Linked DNA regions of Canis lupus familiaris. The protein of the gene in region 1 purifies or fractionates together with the protein of each later gene. This does not show direct contact. Links are inferred from orthologs where the notes say so. Each region holds a gene or a part of one and is shown on either strand. Other genes may lie near its edges.

Evidence for each region.
Region 2: the proteins of NAP1L1 (region 1) and MAGED2 purify together in Homo sapiens (affinity purification with mass spectrometry; 4 studies listed by BioGRID and IntAct, counting the BioPlex papers as one, with this or other methods). This does not show direct contact. The link is inferred for Canis lupus familiaris from reciprocal best matches to the Homo sapiens genes NAP1L1 and MAGED2.
Region 3: the proteins of NAP1L1 (region 1) and NAP1L5 purify together in Homo sapiens (affinity purification with mass spectrometry; 3 studies listed by BioGRID and IntAct, counting the BioPlex papers as one, with this or other methods). This does not show direct contact. The link is inferred for Canis lupus familiaris from reciprocal best matches to the Homo sapiens genes NAP1L1 and NAP1L5.
Region 4: the proteins of NAP1L1 (region 1) and H2AX purify together in Homo sapiens (affinity purification with mass spectrometry; 3 studies listed by BioGRID and IntAct, counting the BioPlex papers as one, with this or other methods). This does not show direct contact. The link is inferred for Canis lupus familiaris from reciprocal best matches to the Homo sapiens genes NAP1L1 and H2AX.

What each region holds. Positions count from the first base shown.
Region 1 is NC_049236.1:19,277,378-19,281,990, forward strand, and holds part of NAP1L1 (nucleosome assembly protein 1-like 1), read right to left. Parts: intron 1,642-4,613; coding exon 1,500-1,641; intron 1,232-1,499; coding exon 1,151-1,231; intron 459-1,150; coding exon 330-458; intron 1-329. UniProt on the Homo sapiens protein: Histone chaperone that plays a role in the nuclear import of H2A-H2B and nucleosome assembly.
Region 2 is NW_023330544.1:39,268-44,329, forward strand, and holds the start of MAGED2 (melanoma-associated antigen D2), read right to left. Parts: upstream 3,650-5,062; 5' UTR 3,520-3,649; intron 3,434-3,519; exon of another isoform or gene 3,339-3,433; intron 3,007-3,338; exon of another isoform or gene 2,914-3,006; intron 2,532-2,913; exon of another isoform or gene 2,041-2,531; 5' UTR 2,012-2,040; coding exon 1,967-2,011; intron 1,579-1,966; coding exon 1,090-1,578; intron 487-1,089; coding exon 178-486; intron 60-177; coding exon 1-59. UniProt on the Homo sapiens protein: Regulates the expression, localization to the plasma membrane and function of the sodium chloride cotransporters SLC12A1 and SLC12A3, two key components of salt reabsorption in the distal renal tubule.
Region 3 is NC_049253.1:27,995,338-28,000,297, reverse strand, and holds NAP1L5 (nucleosome assembly protein 1-like 5), read right to left. Parts: upstream 3,315-4,960; 5' UTR 3,217-3,314; coding exon 2,680-3,216; 3' UTR 1,350-2,679; downstream 1-1,349.
Region 4 is NC_049226.1:14,790,209-14,793,839, reverse strand, and holds H2AX (histone H2AX), read right to left. Parts: upstream 2,042-3,631; 5' UTR 1,939-2,041; coding exon 1,507-1,938; 3' UTR 1,350-1,506; downstream 1-1,349. Other genes in the region: HMBS (porphobilinogen deaminase), read left to right, coding at 1-154; DPAGT1 (UDP-N-acetylglucosamine--dolichyl-phosphate N-acetylglucosaminephosphotransferase), read right to left, coding at 3,228-3,293, 3,376-3,531. UniProt on the Homo sapiens protein: Variant histone H2A which replaces conventional H2A in a subset of nucleosomes. Nucleosomes wrap and compact DNA into chromatin, limiting DNA accessibility to the cellular machineries which require DNA as a template.

The DNA.
Region 1 (4,613 bases):
GTCTTTTTGGTAAGATAAATGAAATTTTAAGTTTCCTCTCTCCACTCTCTAATACCAAGCACCTAAACAGAGAAGACACAAGACTAAACAAAACACTGCTCAATGATAAACAACTGTCAAAGGGACTATTTCAGTATCTAACTTGAAAATGAACTATAATTTGATTACAATAATCGAAGATGCAATTTTCCTTCTACAGGTAACAGTTTTCAAAAGACAGCAATCATTCTGTAGAGGTCAACAATGGAGTGACTAGTCATCATACCCATTTAAATTTCAAAGGTTTTTACCCTTTGAGGTAAACTGATGTTTTTAATGAATAAAATTACCTGAACCATATCACTGAGCAAGTCAACATTCTTAAAAACAGTCAACCAGAATTCAGGAATTCCCTTGGGGTCTTCTTTTTCTTCATCCTTTTTCTCATCTTCAATCTTGGCTTTTTCTTTTAGCTCCTCCTAGATAAATAACAGCATAAATTATTGAATAACTAGATTAGATCACTTGATAAAATCTTACCATCTCCTAACTTACATCCAGTGATGAAGTACAGAAACCAGCAAATCCTCAATCACCAACTGCAATTTTCAAACAAGTTCTAATCCAACTGTGTAAACACTGCTGTTACCCATACCAAACCTTACTTATTGCTACTACCATAACCCTCCCAAAACGTAGAACCTATGAGCTATGGGGAAACCGTTTTAGAGAAAAAAATTTTTTAACTTTAGTTAAAAAAAGAAACATAAACTGTGCCCAAATCCTCACCCCTTGGTGTTTTTGATCAAAACATTATGTTCTCCTAATCAACCAACATTAAAATAGCAACGCTCGGGAAATAGTCATAGAACAGACACCGGATCTGTGTCACAATCCTGCCATTTATTAGTTGTAGGCAAATCACTTAGAGGCCTCTACTACTTGAAAAACAAGAACAATCCTTTGCATGTCATTAAATTCAAAGGAAAAGTTTACATGATCTATAAAATTTAAATACTAAAAAATGTAAGGGAAAAATGAATTTGGGTACAGATGGTAGCAGGGCAAACAGTGAGTGGCTCATCTGTTCTGATTATTGTTAACTCACCAACAATCTTACAATAAAATATTTCCAAGACAAAAAAAACACTACATTAAAGTTGGTACTGACCGAAATTTCGTCCTCCTCATCTGGTTTCCATTCACATTCTTCTTCCGTAGGTTCATAAATTGCATTAATGATCTCAAATCGCTAAAATGATTTAAAAAAAGAAAAGCTTGCATAAAAACACTGACATCCAAGCCAAAAACTAGCTGTTTTGCATTAAAGCTGTGTATAGATTTTATGAATGCGTACCACCAATTGAATTGCTATTATTGAGTTTTTCCAAATACCTCGAATAACCATTTTGCTGAGAGGTCTATAAAGATTAAACCATCTGCAAGGTTGGTTGTATTTCCAGAGCTTTATTATAATCTCAAATTTTAGGTAAAGAAAATAAAGTAGTAGAAATCATTACCTTATCAAACAGAGGTTGATAGAGAACAGCATACTTTCTTTCAAGATCATGAACTTCCTCATAGAATTTGGCTTCTATCTGTGCACATTTAACTTGAAGATTTTTGAGAGCATTCACTCGTCTTTTAACTACCCTAGGCAAACTGAAAGGTTGGAAGTGCACCAGTTACATAGCATTCAGAGTAAAACACTCACACTTCTATCATATTGAATAGTAAAGCATAAAAGTTAGTGAATGTTAAATCTCCTATTTGAAACAAAAGGTCTATTCAAAGTAATTAAAAGTCAAGAAATATAAAATACACAGACTTAACTAGAAAATATTTCAAAAGTGAACATTTAAACAGATACAGTAAGTTGATAAAAAGATGTAAATCACATAAATCTTTCATCATAATCAAGTTCAGCAAAGACTTGTCAGTGCTGGCATCTAAGCTGTAAAACAGTCTATCTTAGGAAGTTAAAATTTAGGGACTGACTGAGCATCCTGAGAATAACGACAATAACCTTGATTTAAAAAAATAAAGTATGTGTATCTCACCCATACCAGCTATTTTTAGGGAAAAGGAGAGGAGCATATGTATATTAGAAAAAAGGATGATATCCTATACCATTATTTCCTCTTTTAGTCTCTGTATTTAAAACTTGAATTTAGGGACGCCTGGGTGGCTCAGTGGTTGAGCGTCTGCCTTTGGCTCAGGACATGATTCCCCTGTCCGGGGTCCAGGGATCAGGTCCCACATCGGGCTCCCTGCATGGAGCCTGCTTCTCCCTCTGCCTGTGTGTCTGCCTCTCTCAGTCTCTCATGAATAAATAAATAAAATCTTTAAAAAAAAGAAACTTGAATTTACATTAAAAAAAGAATGCTATATTTCATGAAGGGACTTAATAGCTTTGAGATATAATTCATAAATCATACAATTTTCTATGGGGTATACGCCACCTGAAGTATAAGTAAACTTATGAATCCCCTACCACCCAAAAACTGTTCACTTAAGGGGATCCCTGGGTGGCGCAGCGGTTTAGCGCCTGCCTTTGGCCCAGGGCGCGATCCTGGAGACCCGGGATCGAATCCCACGTCGGGCTCCCAGTGCATGGAGCCTGCTTCTCCCTCTGCCTATGTCTCTGTCTCTCTCTTTCTCTCTCTCTCTCTCTGTCTGTCACTATCATAAATAAATAAAAATTAAAAAAAAAAAAACTGTTCACTTAAAATTGATCTAACTTCAGGGAATCTGTGTAAGAGATCCAGAATCCAGGTTAGAATTTTCTGCCATGAGCAGATTGTTGTAAATCAAATATTTCTCTTACTTAACCGCTACTTTAGTTACATTAATCAGAAGTAAAAAAACAAATTACCTATTACCAATTTTTTATTTCTTACAGTTAAAAGTAAAGCTTAATGTTTTGTCAAGGTGATGAAATAACATGGGGTGCTGCCCACACCTACACCGTATCTCAGAAAAAAAAAATGAACCCTAGAACTTCAGAACCAAGAAGAAAACAACTATTTCAGGGACTTACACACTCACACGCACACATACTACGGAGCAACTTCTGAGTAAGACTAACAACCGTACAGGGTGAACTGCCACCTGGAAATGGGCAAGAATGAGCAGAACAGGGAACAGGACAGACTGGAAGAAAGCTTTTGAAATTTTGGGTTTGCCTTACAACAGCCAGTGCCTGACCTCTTCACCCTTCACAAAGCCCAGGTGCCAGCATTCTTAGGAGTTCGTTGAGCTGAGAGCCTACAAAGCACTCCCTCCTCCACCCCTCCAACCCAGGTACAACAGATTACAACCAAAGGAGCAACTTCCTCTGCCCCAAGCAGCCAAAGACAATTGCCTGGAATTGACAGTAAACTTTGAGTCTCAGGTGACCAGACTCTATTCTTAAATTCCACGAGACTGTCACAAACCAGAGCCTGATCTTTTCTCCTCCCTCAATAATCATTATTGAGGAGTAAATCAGCCAGTGAGCCTGAGCTCTACAGCCAAAATAACTAAAACTTTAAGGAGTATAAATTTCTAATGAAAGAATGAAATACGTATCATCTGAAGCCGTATTATTAGACAGAACAATGTAAATATATTTAAAGAGAGGAGGGAAGAAACAAGACCAAGAAATCTAAAACAAAGTAGAAATATTAAATATGAAAAATACAGTAGCTGAAACAAATAACCAACAAATAAGATAAACAGGATAGGTTCAGCTTAAGGAAGTTCATTAAAGTTGGAATACTCTCCAGAAAAGCAGCAGGAAAGACAGAAAAATGATTTGAACAAAATTAGCAACAGCTGAAAGACAGGAGGTGGATATCTGAAGAAAAGAGCAATAAATTTCTCAGAATTAAAGTAATATGAAAATCCTTACTCTAACCCCTAGACAGGTGAATGATATTCATGAATATCAAAGACCAAATAAAATTCTAAGTGTGTTCAATGAAAAAGCAAATAACCTATACAGGAAAAGGAATCGGACTGACAACAGGCTTCAAAAGAAAACTCCAGATACAAGAAGAAATGAATTTTTAAGATATTTAAGAACTTTGAACTTAAAATTTTATAAGCCAAACTATTATTCAAATATGAAGGCAAAATAAAAATTGTATGAGACATATGAAGCTTCAGGAAATATGCCACAAACACTCATTACATTAAAAATAATTTCTAAGTAAAAAAAAAAAAAAAAAAAAAAAATCCGGAAATACTATGTAAGTGTGGGTGGCCAAAAACCTTGGTAAATTTTACTGTTGTCCTTGATGGGAAAAAAGAGGACTAGAGAACATATACGTGTAAAAAAAAAAACAAAAAAAAAACAGACATTAGTAAATTTAAGAAATCAATATGGGTAAATAAACTTAGATATTAGGTTAGAAGCCCTTTTACCATAATAACAAAAAACAAAATGCAGCAATTTTAATATCAGAAGACAACTTGGTTTATTTGAAGAAAAGCAGGAAAAGAGAAAGAAACATTGTACAATAAATTATAAAATAATAGCAATTATGTCCAAAAACAATACCACTTTCAAGAAATGCAAAGAGTTTAAAATTACTAATAAAGCAGCAAACTTACATACTAGAGATAAGATACAAGGATGGAGAAAGACATGC
Region 2 (5,062 bases), on another chromosome or scaffold:
CGTTTGATGGGAATCTTCGTCTGGTCTTTAACCAAGAGGTACTTCACCAAATCGTTTGCCTGGGAAAGGGAAAAAAAGGTAGAAAGATCAAAATACGTTTGCACAAGATTTGAGAGGAAGGCAGAAAAGGTAGGCAAGGCAGTAGATAAGGCAGAGTGGAGAGGACAGGGTTCTTACCCTCCCCTGCAAAAGGGCCACATCTCGAGGTATTGGTGTTTCAGGCTCTTGGGATGACTGGAGCTTCGCAGCTCGACGGCGAGCCTTGCCCCTACGGGCCTTAGGTGACCTCAGGGAGAGCAAAGCTCTCCGGGCCCAAGCAGCCAAACGAGTCCTTGATGCCCTGCGGGCCCAAAAGGCTATGGGGCCCCTTGAAGCCCTGCGCGCCATTGAGGCCATTAGGGCCTTGGAGACCCTTCGGCCAGCTGTGGTTCCAGAAGCCTGACTCTGATCACTATTGCCATCCTCTTCGCTATTCAGATGCTTCACCTGCAGCAACAGAGAGGAAGCACAATATTGTCAAACAAAGTAGATGTTCCTTTTCCCTCATCCTCTCTCTTCTGGAAGGCCCCTCTAATCCCACCCCTGGAGTAACAGCCTGATTAGACATTGGCCATGTTGAGTCTTGGGACTGTTTTTCACTGACTTCAATGCAGAAGTTTCATCTCTCTACCAGGCTAGGAACAACCTGAGATGGGGCCTGAGAATTCTCCTCTTCCTATGTCCACCACTGGCCCTTCTTGTACCACCCTGCACAAGTCACCCCACCTTTCTAGGACTCAGCTTCCTTCTCTATAAAACTGGATTACTTTCAGGATTTAATGAAATAACCTGTATGCATGTGCCTAGCTCAAGGTCTAACACATGGTAGGTCCTATGTAAATACAAACTACATTAACATTGCAGCTAAGTATGTGTACTATCTCAGTTCTCCATGACTCTGTGAACTCTCTGCAGAGAGAAATGATATCACATTCCTCTTATTGTCCCCCTTAATCTTGATGAGCACAGGGAACTTTCTAAATGTTTGCAGAACAAATGGACTAATGAAGAGAAGTGGAAAGGGAAGACTGGTGTTTATAGACGTCTTACCTTTCTGGCTTTCTTGGCCTTGACCTTGGGCCGAGTATCCTGATTCTCCTGAGCCTGGGCAGCCGCACCATCAGGCTTAGGTTCATCTGCCAAAGCCTGAGAGGCAGGAGCCTCAGTCTCCAGGGCCTTTGTACCAGCCTTTATATCAGCCACACAGCTGACCTTTTTGGTTTCAGTGGCAGGCATTGTCACAGGCTGAGGGTCAGCACTCTGCATCTTGGTGTCAGCTGCTGGACTCTTCTTTTCAACTGTCAGAACCTGGGTATCAGTCAGCTTAGTGGTAGGGGAGGCCTGAGTGGCAGCCACCTCCTGAGCCTCTGGGGCCTTTGAGACCTCTGTGGCCTTTGAGACTCCTGCAGCATTTGAGACCTTCATGGCTTCTGAGGTCTCTAGTGCCTTTGAGGTCTTCGGTATCTCTGAGACCTCCAAATTATGGGTCACTGTCAATAGGGTCTGTATCTTCAAGCCACTGTCCTCTGAAGCTTCAGCCTGCAAGAGGAAGCAGGAAAGCTCACAGACCTTCTCCCCATTCCCAACTAGGAAAATGGCTCCAAAATTCCAGGACCTCACTTCTCTGACCTATACTAACTCCTACTTACAGTGAGCTCTGCCCACCTAGACCCAACAAGGCCTCTCCTTCCTCTGAGCAGGAAGTGATGGCAGAAGAAGGCAGGCCTGCCCTCCCTCCCTACTTCCTTCCTCCATCCTTCATTCTTCCTTCTTTCCTCCCTCCCTCACTCCCTCTACTGGTGAGGGGGGGCACCCAGGAAGGAAAGTGGGTAAAGGACAAGGATGGGAGGGGTGGTACCAAGGGAACTGAGGCAGCAACGCGCTGGAGAAGAAAAGTAGTAAGGGAGAGGACAAAATGAGGCCTTACCTGGAAGCGGGTTGGACCCGTACCTTTCTCGCTTGTGTCAGACATGTCTCAAGTTGGCCTGGCAAGAGCTGAGCCTGAGGAGAGAAGGCCTGTGTCAAAGGGCCTGAACGTCCTCTCTCCTGTTCTGCCTGGAAGCTGATCCTCACTTTCCCTAGGGCCCCAAACCCAAACCCCGCCCCCGCCCCCAATGACTCCGTTCTCGGATTCAGTAATCCAAAGCTTCTAGATCTCAATTCTCTGCAGCCGCACCCTCCCCTTCTCCAGGAAGATGTGCCAGCGCGGCAGCTCTGAGGACCCCGCCCCTTTTCCCAGTGCACCCCCCCTCCAGCCGCAGACCAACAATGCGCATGCGCGTTCGCTGCGGAGGCCCACCTCAGCCCCGCCCGCTTTCCCAGCACAAGCTCTTTCTTTGAAGTCCACCATGCACATGCGCATTCGGCAGCAGCCCGTCTCCAGGCTGGCTTTCCTCTACACGCCCCTTCCTAGCAATCCAGAGTGTGCATGCGCAATGGTCCGGACTCCGTCCACCGCCCTTTCTCAACACAAGCCCTTCTCCAGGTCCGCAGTACCATTTGGTCCCGCCCCCTCCCCAACAAGCTTTCTTCTAAAATTGTCGCAGTTTGGTGGTCCCGGCCCCTCCCCTACTCACACCCACCCCAAGTCCACACTATGGCCCTGTCCCGCCCTTTTTCACAACACGCCCCCTCCAACCAGGGGCAAAGCGCATCTTGGTTCCGCCCCTTCCTTAGTACACCCCCTCCTCAAATCTAGAATGGAGCCAGTGATTCCATTTTAGGCCCAGCCAAACCGGGTCCAGTCCCCTCCCTTCCCATCCGGATGGATCCGGTACGATCCGGTCCCTACAGCAGGTTTTCTCCAGATATGAGAGGGTGGGGCCGATCCTTATTGGGCTGTGATCCAGAGCCGGGCTGGGCCCCACAGCTCACCTCCTTCTCCTTAAGTTCCAGAGTGCGTCCACGCTCCAAGCCCCTCTAAAACTCCTAGACTGCCCTCCCTGCTCCAGGCCGGAAGTGGTCCCGCCCCTTTCCGCCTCCCTAGGGGGGCCTCTGTCGCAGCCAGTCTGCCCTTCCCCCCCGCCCCCCGCTGATCCTCATTCCTTATCACCCCCGTATTCCCTCTGCCTTGCTCCCTGCTCCCTATCACCCCTCGCATTTCCTATTTTACCCCACAGAATTCCTTATTCCTATTCCTTACATCCTATCCTGTGTTACCTTTGCACCCCCTTCCCTAGTACTCCTTAACCCTTCTCTGCATTCCCTATTTTCTTCTCTGGATTTCCACTTTCCCTCAGTATTCCCCTCTTCCTCCCAGTCGGTCACTCAACAAACCCGGTTCCCCTCCTCCCCACTAGTCTCAGATCGCCAATCCTTACCGCCTACTACCCTCAGGAGTCCTGATTGCCTACATCCTGCTCCAGGTCATCTCTCCCTCAGCTGCAGTGGTGCAGTATGGATTGCCCACCTGCCTGGCTATAGGTTCGAGGGAACTGAAATCACTGGCTGCCAGGAAACCCAAATCTCAACGCCCCTCACCTTGTCCTCCAGCAAGTCCGGGATGAGTCTGCCCTCTCTCAGTCCCTCTCGAAGTCTCAGCCTCCTGGACTAGAGCTGCAGCCAGCCCAGCCCAGCCCCTTTCCGCAGCCCCCTGCCACCCCCCTCCTTCCTTGGGGGTGGGGCAAGGGGCCCAGCTCTGGGCTGTCTGACGCCAAAGCCCATGTTTATGCCACTGTACCAGGCTCAGTCTGCAGACCTTCGAACTAAAACCACCGCCTCAAAGCGATTCATTCACTGAATGTATTTATTTTCGTATCTTTATTTTTTCTTATTACAAAGATAATCATGTGAAAATTCAAATAATGCAGAAATGTGTAACATACCAATGAAAGGCCACCCTTATCTCATTTCCCAGAAATAACCACTATTAACATTTTTATATACAGTCCTCCAGATTTTTTTCCTATTCATTACTAATTATTTGGGGTTTCTCCCCACAAATGGTATCCTACACCTACTGTTCCATGACCTGTTTTTTTTCCAGTTATATATTCTAAACAGCTTTCTATAGTGCACATTTTTCTTAACAACTTCATATTATTATCTTGTATAGATGGCCCATAATTTATTTAACCAGTCCAGGATACATGGCTATGGACATTCAGATTGTTTCTCTCTCTCTCTCTCTCTCTCTCTCTCTCTCTCCTATTACAAGCAATGCTACAAGGAATATTCTGCATCTGTATATCTGTATTGAGCTTTTTTTATTTGCAGTACTTTTTGCTGACTAAAATGCTACAAAAAGTCTTCCATTTGATAAGAAATTTGTCAACTTACTCTCAAAAGGTACATGGGAATAATGTTCCCACCAACAATGTCTCTCATATGCTTGTGTTACAAATATAACAAATATTTTTCATGTTATTCATGATAACCTTTGCTATACAAAAGGATTTAATTGTTATATGATGAAATGTATCAGGTGTTCCTTTATCACGACTGGATTCTGCTTCATGCTTAAAGATGCTTTCCACACTCCTATAACAATCCCTGTTTTTTCCCAAGCACTTTTATGGCTTTGATATTTACATTTAAGTATTTGATTATTCCAAAATCTGTTTTGTAAAAGGACTCAGCTTAATTATTTTCCAAAATCACTGTCTCTTATCCTTACACCATTTGCAAATTAATCCATCTTTTTTCCCATTGATTTGACATGACACTTTTATCACATAATAAATTTACATAAGTAATTGGGTCTATTCAAGAGAACAAAATAAGATGTATAAATAATGGAAAGTAGACAGAATTATCATTAGTTACTGAGTATATGAATGCAGACCTGGAGAACCCCAAAGCATCAACTAAAAAGTTATTAGAAACCATAATAAAATTCAGCGTAGTGGTCAGTTACAGAAATAATATTCAATACCTTTCTTACACTCAAAAGTAATTCAAATGGTCATAAGTCTAGTGCTTTATGAGGTCACCTTTTCCTTTACTATAATAAAATATCAATCCCTACATTCTATGGATAATTCTCTCTCTCTCTCTTTTACACACACACACACACACACACACA
Region 3 (4,960 bases), on another chromosome or scaffold:
CAGAGAGAGAGGCAGAGACATAGGCAGAGGGAGAAGCAGGCTCCATGCACCAGGAGCCTGACGTGGGATTCGATCCCGGGTCTCCAGGATCGCGCCCTGGGCCAAAGGCAGGCGCCAAACCGCTGCACCACCCAGGGATCCCCTGTTTTACATTTCTTTCTGATTTTTTCACTTTTCACATAGGTTATACCTATTTTTTATTTGAGGTTTTTATAAATGTTTTATTTCTATTGTGAAAGAGTCTTTCCATATATTTTGATCATTATTGGTACCTAGAAATAGTTAATAGTTTTGTATATTTATCTGGCAGCTGGTCAACTGCTCGAATTTAGTCAATGTTAATAATTTTCAGTCATTTTTCTTGGGTTTTCTATATATAATTACATGCTTAGAAAAAAAATTTTCCCAGGTAGTTAGACTCCTTATTTGTTTCATTCATTTTTTTTTTTTTTTTACTAGATGGATTTAGAAAAATATTAAAGGAGTCTCTTATCCCTAGAGATAAGAAATACTGAATTTTATTAGTTTTTGCTTCTATTAAAATAATCATATAATTAAGATAATCATTGACTTCTTGCATAATATGTTACCTTGATTTTTCTCTTTCGGCTGGCCTGGTCCTAAGGATGATTAACATTATGTTAAGGTTTAACTCTACTATTGCCAATAGCAACAGGTCGGAGCTGCCTTCCTGTCCTTAAGGAAAAGTGGCATAATTTCACTTGTGTAATTTTAACCCTTAAGTGAAATGGAAGAAATGCATCTGAATTTTTAAGTTTTAGGGGGGAGGGTTAATTTTTAGACTATTTTGCTTCATTCAGGATGCCCAGATGTTAAGGTTGAAGTAGCCTTGTTTTGCATATGCATAATATCACATGTAAAAGTCTTTTATCTATTCTGGGAGGAAATCAAAACCTTATTATATATTGAGGAAACCAAAATGAGATAGATTATTGAATTTCCTGTTTTCAAATTAAAGTCCACATTCTTTGAGGAGGAATCGATAAACTTAAGAATACAATGATGTCTGTTTTCTCCCCCTTTTGTACCTGGGGAGGGAAGGAAGATTGAATTTCCAATCAGTGTCTTTATCTTTCATGTAATAATAAAACAATAATTAAATAATAATAGCTGAAATTTCTTGAGCACTGAGTGTGTGTCAGACCTTATCCTACAGAACTTGTGTATTAGCTGACTTGTTCTCCATAATTGTGAGGAAGAGGCTGTTACTATCCCCTTTTATAGAAGGAGAAACTGAAACAGATCAACTGACTTGTGTAAGGTTCGTTGCTTGTAAGAGGCAGAGCTGGGATTTGATTCCAGGCAGGCAGGCAGAGTATTCCGAGTCCTTTTGTTTTTTGAAAATACTGTTTTATTAACACTACAGTGGTAAACAACTTTATGCTTATGTTTTTTTATAGATCACTGAATCACACAAAGTTCAAAACCCACAAGGAAGCTTAGGAGTCTTTACATTTAATGTGTCCTTCCTGAAAATCCTTAACTGTATGCCAGTCTGTCTTCAAGCATTAAAATTTGAATATGCACCATTTTTTAAATTTATTATGTCACATTTACATAGCAAAATAATGAAGGCACAGCTAATACAAGCAAACTTAAACCCTTCTACTTCTGAGCTGGGGGTGGGGACACACACTTGTATTGGTTCTTCAAGTATTTATTTTTTCCAACATTAGCTTCATTGAAGAGTTCTGATAATTTTCACAGCTACATTCTAAAAGCTACATGACAAAAAGACTTCACAAGGATCAAACTACATAAAACACTGAATACACATGCTTTACAGGATTTGCTACATTCTACATCTTTTCAAGTAAATTAATATTTCTAGAAAGCTAGGTAAAGGGATTGAATACTTAAAACATTTTGGGGTTTTTTTTTCCACCTTTGTAAACAGACGCTACCAAGAACACACATAAACATAAGACTGTAAATAACGAACACATACGTTGACAATATTATACAGGTTATACACCCTCCTTCTCAGAACCATGTTGCTTGTCTTAAATTCAAATATTCAGAACATTCTTTAGAATGTGAAGTGGCAGTTTTCCAGACCTCATTAAACAGTACTGTCATGATCTCCATCACAGGCTTCCACAATTCCATCACTCTTCTCTGAAGTGTAAAGCTGATGTGTGGGTTACAAAAGCAAAGACTTAAAGATGAGAGTCTTCTGCTTTTTCCGCACTGGAGAATGTCCGGACTAAAGAAACTGAAGAATTAAGCATTGAGAACATGTTCATTCAGTCTTGGTCTGGGTGTTCCGTGTGTAGTGTGATGATGGTGGGATGAATAGGTTTCAAAGTGACATTCTTCACATCTACTTGACACCCTTAAGCCTCAATTGCAGTCCGTGCAGAAGAGATCATGGAAAAAAAAAAAATCATTTTAAATTTAACTGGTTTTCTTCAACACCTTTTGATACATTTATTGTGTTCAAAATGAAAAATGTGAAACGGGCTGGCCAGGATCTGATTGCTTCAATTGAACTTAATTTTAGGAACGTCAAAATTGATTCACATTGTATTTTGGTCCCAAACCTGAGCCTTATTTTTAGAAGTCCACCAATATTCAAAAAAAAGAAAAAGAAAGAAAGAAAGAAAATAGGGGGTTTTGTTTTCGTCGTCACTCTTCCTCTTCCATCTCTGGCCCCGCTTATTTCTTGGCGTCATCAGGCACTGCAGAGTGGGGACCCTCATCTTTGGCAGCCGCCGCCTCCACAGCAGCCTCCGCCGCAGCTTCCTCCTCCTCCTCCTCCTCCTCCTCCCCCTCCTCCTCATCCTCGTACTCTTCCTCGTCGTCGTCGTCCTCCTCCCCCTCTAAGGTCCATGCACACCCCTCCATCTCACCGGTGAGCTCTTGGATCTTGGCAAGTAGGGGCTTATAGATGTCGTTATACTTTTTTTCCAGAGCCTGAAATTCCTTATCAAATTTGGCTTCTATCTTATCGCAGCGCTTCTGCAGCTTTTTGAGGGCCAGGACTCGGCACTTCACCGAGTTGGGCAGGCTCTCGATAAAGTCATTTTTGGGCTTCGGCGCGTTGTCCGCGGGGGTCTGGGGCTCCTCGGCCGTCGGACCGGCCGCGCTGTCCGAGTCTCCCCCCTGCGCGCCGCCTTCCGCCATTACCTCCTCCGCCGCCTCCGCCGCCGCCTGGCTCGGCTCCGCAGGCCCCTGGTTTTCCGAGTCAGCCATGTTACAGCAGCAGCCGCGGAGCTCTAGCGTGGCTCCCGCAGACACCCGCGCCCGCGCTGCGCCAGAGCGGTCCTGCGGCTGCGGCACGCGGCGGTGACGTCGGCCGCGGCGGTGACGTCGGCCGCGCCGCGCCCCGCCCCCCTGCCGCCGCCCCCGACTGGCGCTCCGCCGTCAGCTGACGGGCGCCCGCGGGCCCTGGGGCTGCCCGCCGCCTCCCTGGCACCGCGGCTGACGTCCAAGCGCGTTCCTTAGGCGCTCGCCCCCGCGGAGCTGGGCTGGGAACGGCAGCAGGTGCCCGAGGCCCCCTCTTCGGGAGCCGCTTGGGCGGCCTCCGCCCTCCTGAGTCCGCCGCTCTGCCCCGCTCGCGTCCTCGGACCCCACCTCGGGGCTGTCGGCCTCGGCCTCTGCAGCACCGCACAGCTGGCCTTGGTCTGGCGTCAGTGGCTTCGGCCGCCTCCCTTCCAGACGGCGGAGGCACGGGAGAGCGGACCCTCCTCTGCCCGCCCTTCGGGGACGGGGGCCTGTGTCGGAGAGGGCAGCCCACGCGGGCAGATGCCCACCCAGCGGCCTCGGTCGTCCTCAGCTTAGTGCCCTGTGTGTTGGCGGCACGTCTCTTAGCAAGAGGCACCCTGGAAGCAGTTTTGCAGCCATTTGGATAGGGAGTCTAAGGACCCTTGGTATTCTGGGGTGTGTTCTGGAAGTTCCCTCAGATCCTTGTCCTGAGGGCAGGAGTAAAGCTGGAGAACCGCCAAAGACCGGCAAGGCCCCCCCACGCCCGGGGTAAAGCGTGTGTTCAGTGCGGCTGTTCGTAGGGGCGCCCCCGTGTGCTCTCAGACGTGGTCCCCCAGTGCACTCCACGGTTCAGTCCGCTTTGTGGTCTTGCTGCTGATTTGCATCTGAGAACACTTTTTCAGAAAGGTCCTAACTAGAGAAGTCTCCTTTTCTGATAGCAGGGTGAGTAGTCGCTTTATGTTACTTCTTCCCCCTTGCTTTTATCAGGCCGAATGTAGCTTCTTGAATTAAAGATGACTGCACATACTTGAGGTATGGAAGAAGACGAATGATCCTTCCAGGGATTCCGTAGGAATGTTTTCAAATGCGACAGGAATTGATTTAAATGTTTTTCATTCACCAAATTGGGACTTACTAAAGCTCTTCCATCAAGCGTATGAATGTTAGGAAATTACTTCCCAGAGTACATTTGATGTTATCTTACGGTTTTTATGAATATTAGTTAATATGTAAAGCACTTAATGCTGACACGTAGCAACCACTTGGTGTGTGTTTTTTTTTTAAACAAAATAATTGCATTCATGAATATGCAAGGTAACCTGCATTAATGTTCCCTTTTAAGAAGGACATTTTTGTGCCCTTCCCCAAAGAAAGGAACCATTTACAAAAAGCCCAATATATTCCCATTAGCAGACATTCTAGGGTGTTTTTGTTTATGTATTGGTGATTCTTGTTGTCTGTTTACTTTCTTAATTCTGTTCCAGTAATTTACTTTCCCCTTTTCTGTTACCATTTGTAGTGACTGGGTTTTATTGGTAAGGCTGACATATCCGTTTTAGCTCCGACTGAATTTAATGTGATAATACATCTATATTTAGTTGGTGACATTATACATATTCTATATATCTCCCATTGTTAGGAGGTGGAAGCATCCCCCAAACTGAGAATGATTCCCCAAACTGAGAAGGCACTTTGAGACCAGAAGATGAAGCAAGCCACTCCAAACAGTTTA
Region 4 (3,631 bases), on another chromosome or scaffold:
TGATCCGCAGCTGGTGGGGATAACTGCCCGGAACATTCCACGAGAAGCCCAGCTGGCTGCTGAGAACCTGGGCATCAGCCTGGCCAGTTTGCTGCTGAACAAAGGAGCCAAGAACATACTGGATGTTGCACGGCAGCTTAATGATGCCCACTAACTGCTCTGTGGGGCACCGGTGTCTGGGTGGCTATTGTCCAGTGCCTACCTCCCAGCCCTCAGTGCCCCATCCTCACTGCTGACTGAGGTGATCACCCCAGGGAGTTGAACTGCAAGGTCAGAGACTTGCCTCACCTTGAGGCTGTGAAGAGTGCCTTGCTGCCGCAGTAGGCGGAGGTTTCATCTCTTTAGAGAAAGTTCAAGCCACGGCCTTTGAATGTAACCAACTCAACTAATAAACCAGCTCTGAAGGTGACTTTGTTTTTGGTGGGGTTGCAGGAAAGAGGACACAAAACCTTGTGCTCTCTACTTCCGAGGCTGGGACCTCTGTGCAAAGTTCTCCTGGAACATTCTTTGTTCCTGCCACAGCCGTTCTCATTTCCAACAACAAATGGCCTCCCAGTTAAGTGGGGGAGAAGCCTAGGACTTGTCCCTGCCCAGCTAGCCCGTGTGTATGCCCCACAGGCGGGCCATCGGTCCGAGTCCCCCTGACCCCCACTCCCTCAGTACACCTCCCGCCTACAGAGTCGTGGGTGTTACAGCTCGTACAGAATGACAACAGACACCGCGTTTTTAAAAAAACAATCCTTTAATAAACAAAATTAGTCCATCTGAAACTCCTCAATCTGTAGGGTCCTAGTCTTGGATGGGGATAGCTGCAAAATTCCAGTTCCGAAGCTGTCGGAGGCTCAGTGCAGATGGGGACGGTCGGGCCGGTGCTGGTACGGAGGTGCGAGGCCCGCGGAGCGGTCGCCGGAGAGAGCGGGCCGGGCGGCGGGGTTCGCGGGCGCGCGCCTCCTGCAGTCCCGGGGCCCGCGGGGCGCACCGCCCCTCCCCCCCTGGTGGCAGGTCCCCGCGGACGCGTTCGGCCCGAGCCGAGGGGGCGGCAGGGCGGACAGTGACGGGTCGTCCCCGCACCGCGGCGTCCGGAGAGTCCCGGCCCGGCCCGGCCCCGGCGCGTACCTCAGCCCTGCGTCAGCGCGCCGAGCGGCTCTTCCAGGCGGCGCCGCGGCCTCCCCGCGGCCCTCCCCGCGGCCCTCAGCGCGGCCCGGGCGGCTGAGTCACTGGCGCCGCGGCGGGCAGCGGCGCGCCCCCGGCCCCCTCCGGGCCCCTGCGCCGGGCGAGCGGGCGGCCCTCCGGCCGGGAGGCGGCGGGAGCGAGGGCAGGCGAGCCCGCGCGGGGGAGGGGCGGGCCGGGCGGCGGCGGCGGCGGTGACGACGCGGCGGGGGGGAGCCGAGCGCCGCGGCCGCCCGCCCCGAGCCCGACGTGGCTCAGCTCTTTCCGTGAGGGCGGTGGTGGCCCTTAAAAGGGCCTTTGTGGTGGCATGGGGGCCGGCTGCGGCGCGGGCGCCCCTCAGTACTCCTGAGAGGCCTGCGTGGCCTTCTTGCCGCCCGCAGGCGCCTTCGGCCCCACGGTGGCGCTGGTCTTCTTGGGCAGCAGCACGGCCTGGATGTTGGGCAGGACGCCTCCCTGCGCGATCGTCACGCCGCCCAGCAGCTTGTTGAGCTCCTCGTCGTTGCGGATGGCCAGCTGCAGGTGGCGGGGGATGATGCGCGTCTTCTTGTTGTCGCGGGCCGCGTTGCCCGCCAGCTCCAGGATCTCGGCCGTCAGGTACTCGAGCACGGCCGCCAGGTACACCGGCGCGCCGGCGCCCACCCGCTCGGCGTAGTGGCCCTTCCGCAGCAGCCGGTGCACGCGGCCCACGGGGAACTGGAGGCCGGCGCGCGACGAGCGCGACTTGGCCTTGGCGCGGGCCTTGCCGCCGGTCTTGCCGCGGCCCGACATGCTGCGCGAGGTAGAAGAGCTGTGAAGAGGGACGCCTCGAAGGGGGCAACGAACAGCCGCCCGCCGCAGTCCAACTGCTGCCGCGCGCGCCCAGGGGCCGGCCTTATAAGCCCCCAGGGCACACCTCCGCGCCCTCCTGATTGGCTCTCTCCTCGGGTACCCGCCTCCGGTTGGTTGCAGTTAACCCTTCAGTGACGCGCCACGGCCGAGGCAGCGCGCCCGCCGATTGGTCCGATTTGAAAACCTTTTGCCCGGGGAAAAAGGCGAGGAGGAGTGGTAGCACGCAGCCGGCCAACCCCTCCCCGATGTAGCCAATCCTTGCGAAGGGCGCCAGATTTAAACGCTACAGCTGGAGCCCAGAACCGGAAGGCAAAGAGGGTGGAGTCTGGGCCACCTCGAGGGCCTCTGGGAAACCGGTGCGGGCCCGGGATTTTTAAAGGAACGGGGTCGACACCACTCCCTTCCCTTCCTGGTCTGGTCATTCTTCTCTCCTTTCTCCCTCCTCCCATCCTGCAGAGGGAAATGAGAGAGGGAAGAAATGGGAACCCCTCCCGCTGCTCCCCCTAAAAACTTCTGTTCGGCACCAGAGAACAGGCAAGTCCAATCTTAGGGCTCTCCCTGCCACCTGAAGTATGAGGATTTCAGGGCTTATTCAACATGTTCTATTTGGTCTGTTCTTTCTGTTGACTTCTTGTTACAAGGAGCCCACTGTGCTGAAAGAAAAAAGATGGGCAGAGGGATAGGCATCCTCTTGGAGGAGGTACCTCCACCAATCCTCCCGATCTACCCTAAAATGCCCAAAATATACTTACAGGAACACCAAGAAAAAGACAACACTTTATTGTCACCACTGGGAGCACCTGGCCCCCCAATCTGCTCTTACGAATCAGAATACTTAATTTATGGTCAAATAATCAAGTGATCTTCGAGCCTGTGTCCCTCTCCCCAGCCAGGGTTCTATCCCCAGGCCCAACATATTCCTCGAGAGTCCGAGTGGTGGATAACTGCATAAAAAGCACAGTATCCCACTTTGGGAGGCCGCAGGGATGGGATAGAGAGGGAGAGCAGCAAGTTGAAGAAAGCCACAGGCAAAGTCCAATCAACAGTCAGTACAGGGCAAGACAGGCCCAGGATGTCGATCACAGCGGAACGGAATCGCTAAGTACAAAATCTGGAGAAAAGTAAGAGGTGAGAGAGGCCTGGGCCCGGAAGCTTGCCTGGCCCAGAAAGAGGCAGGCCTGAGTCAGGAACCCTGCAGACTATGCAGTGAAGGGCAAGGATTGGGGGACTCAGACATCGTAGAAGAGCCGGACAAGCTGGTACCGGATGGAGAAGGTGACAGCACTGCCAAGGATCTGTGAGGAGAAAGAAACACACCAGAGTCAGAGCCATGGAGAAAGGGAGACCAGAGCCAGCAAAGCCCTTCCCTGACCACACCTGGAGCAGCAGCAGGAGCAGAGTCAGGTTTCTCTCATGCATGGGCCCGAGAACCTTAAGGAGCAAGTTGAGGAGCGTCATGTTGTTACACTCCGTGAAGGCACCATCCTCATTCTCACTCTGGTGCACTGTCACTAGCTGCAGGCTCGCTGCTACCTGGAGGGGCCAGAGGTGGAGAGAACTTCAACTCTGCTTCAGCAATGGGGGATCTGCTTCATGCTTCCAGGCTCCCCTTGGATCTGATGCAAGCCGAGGG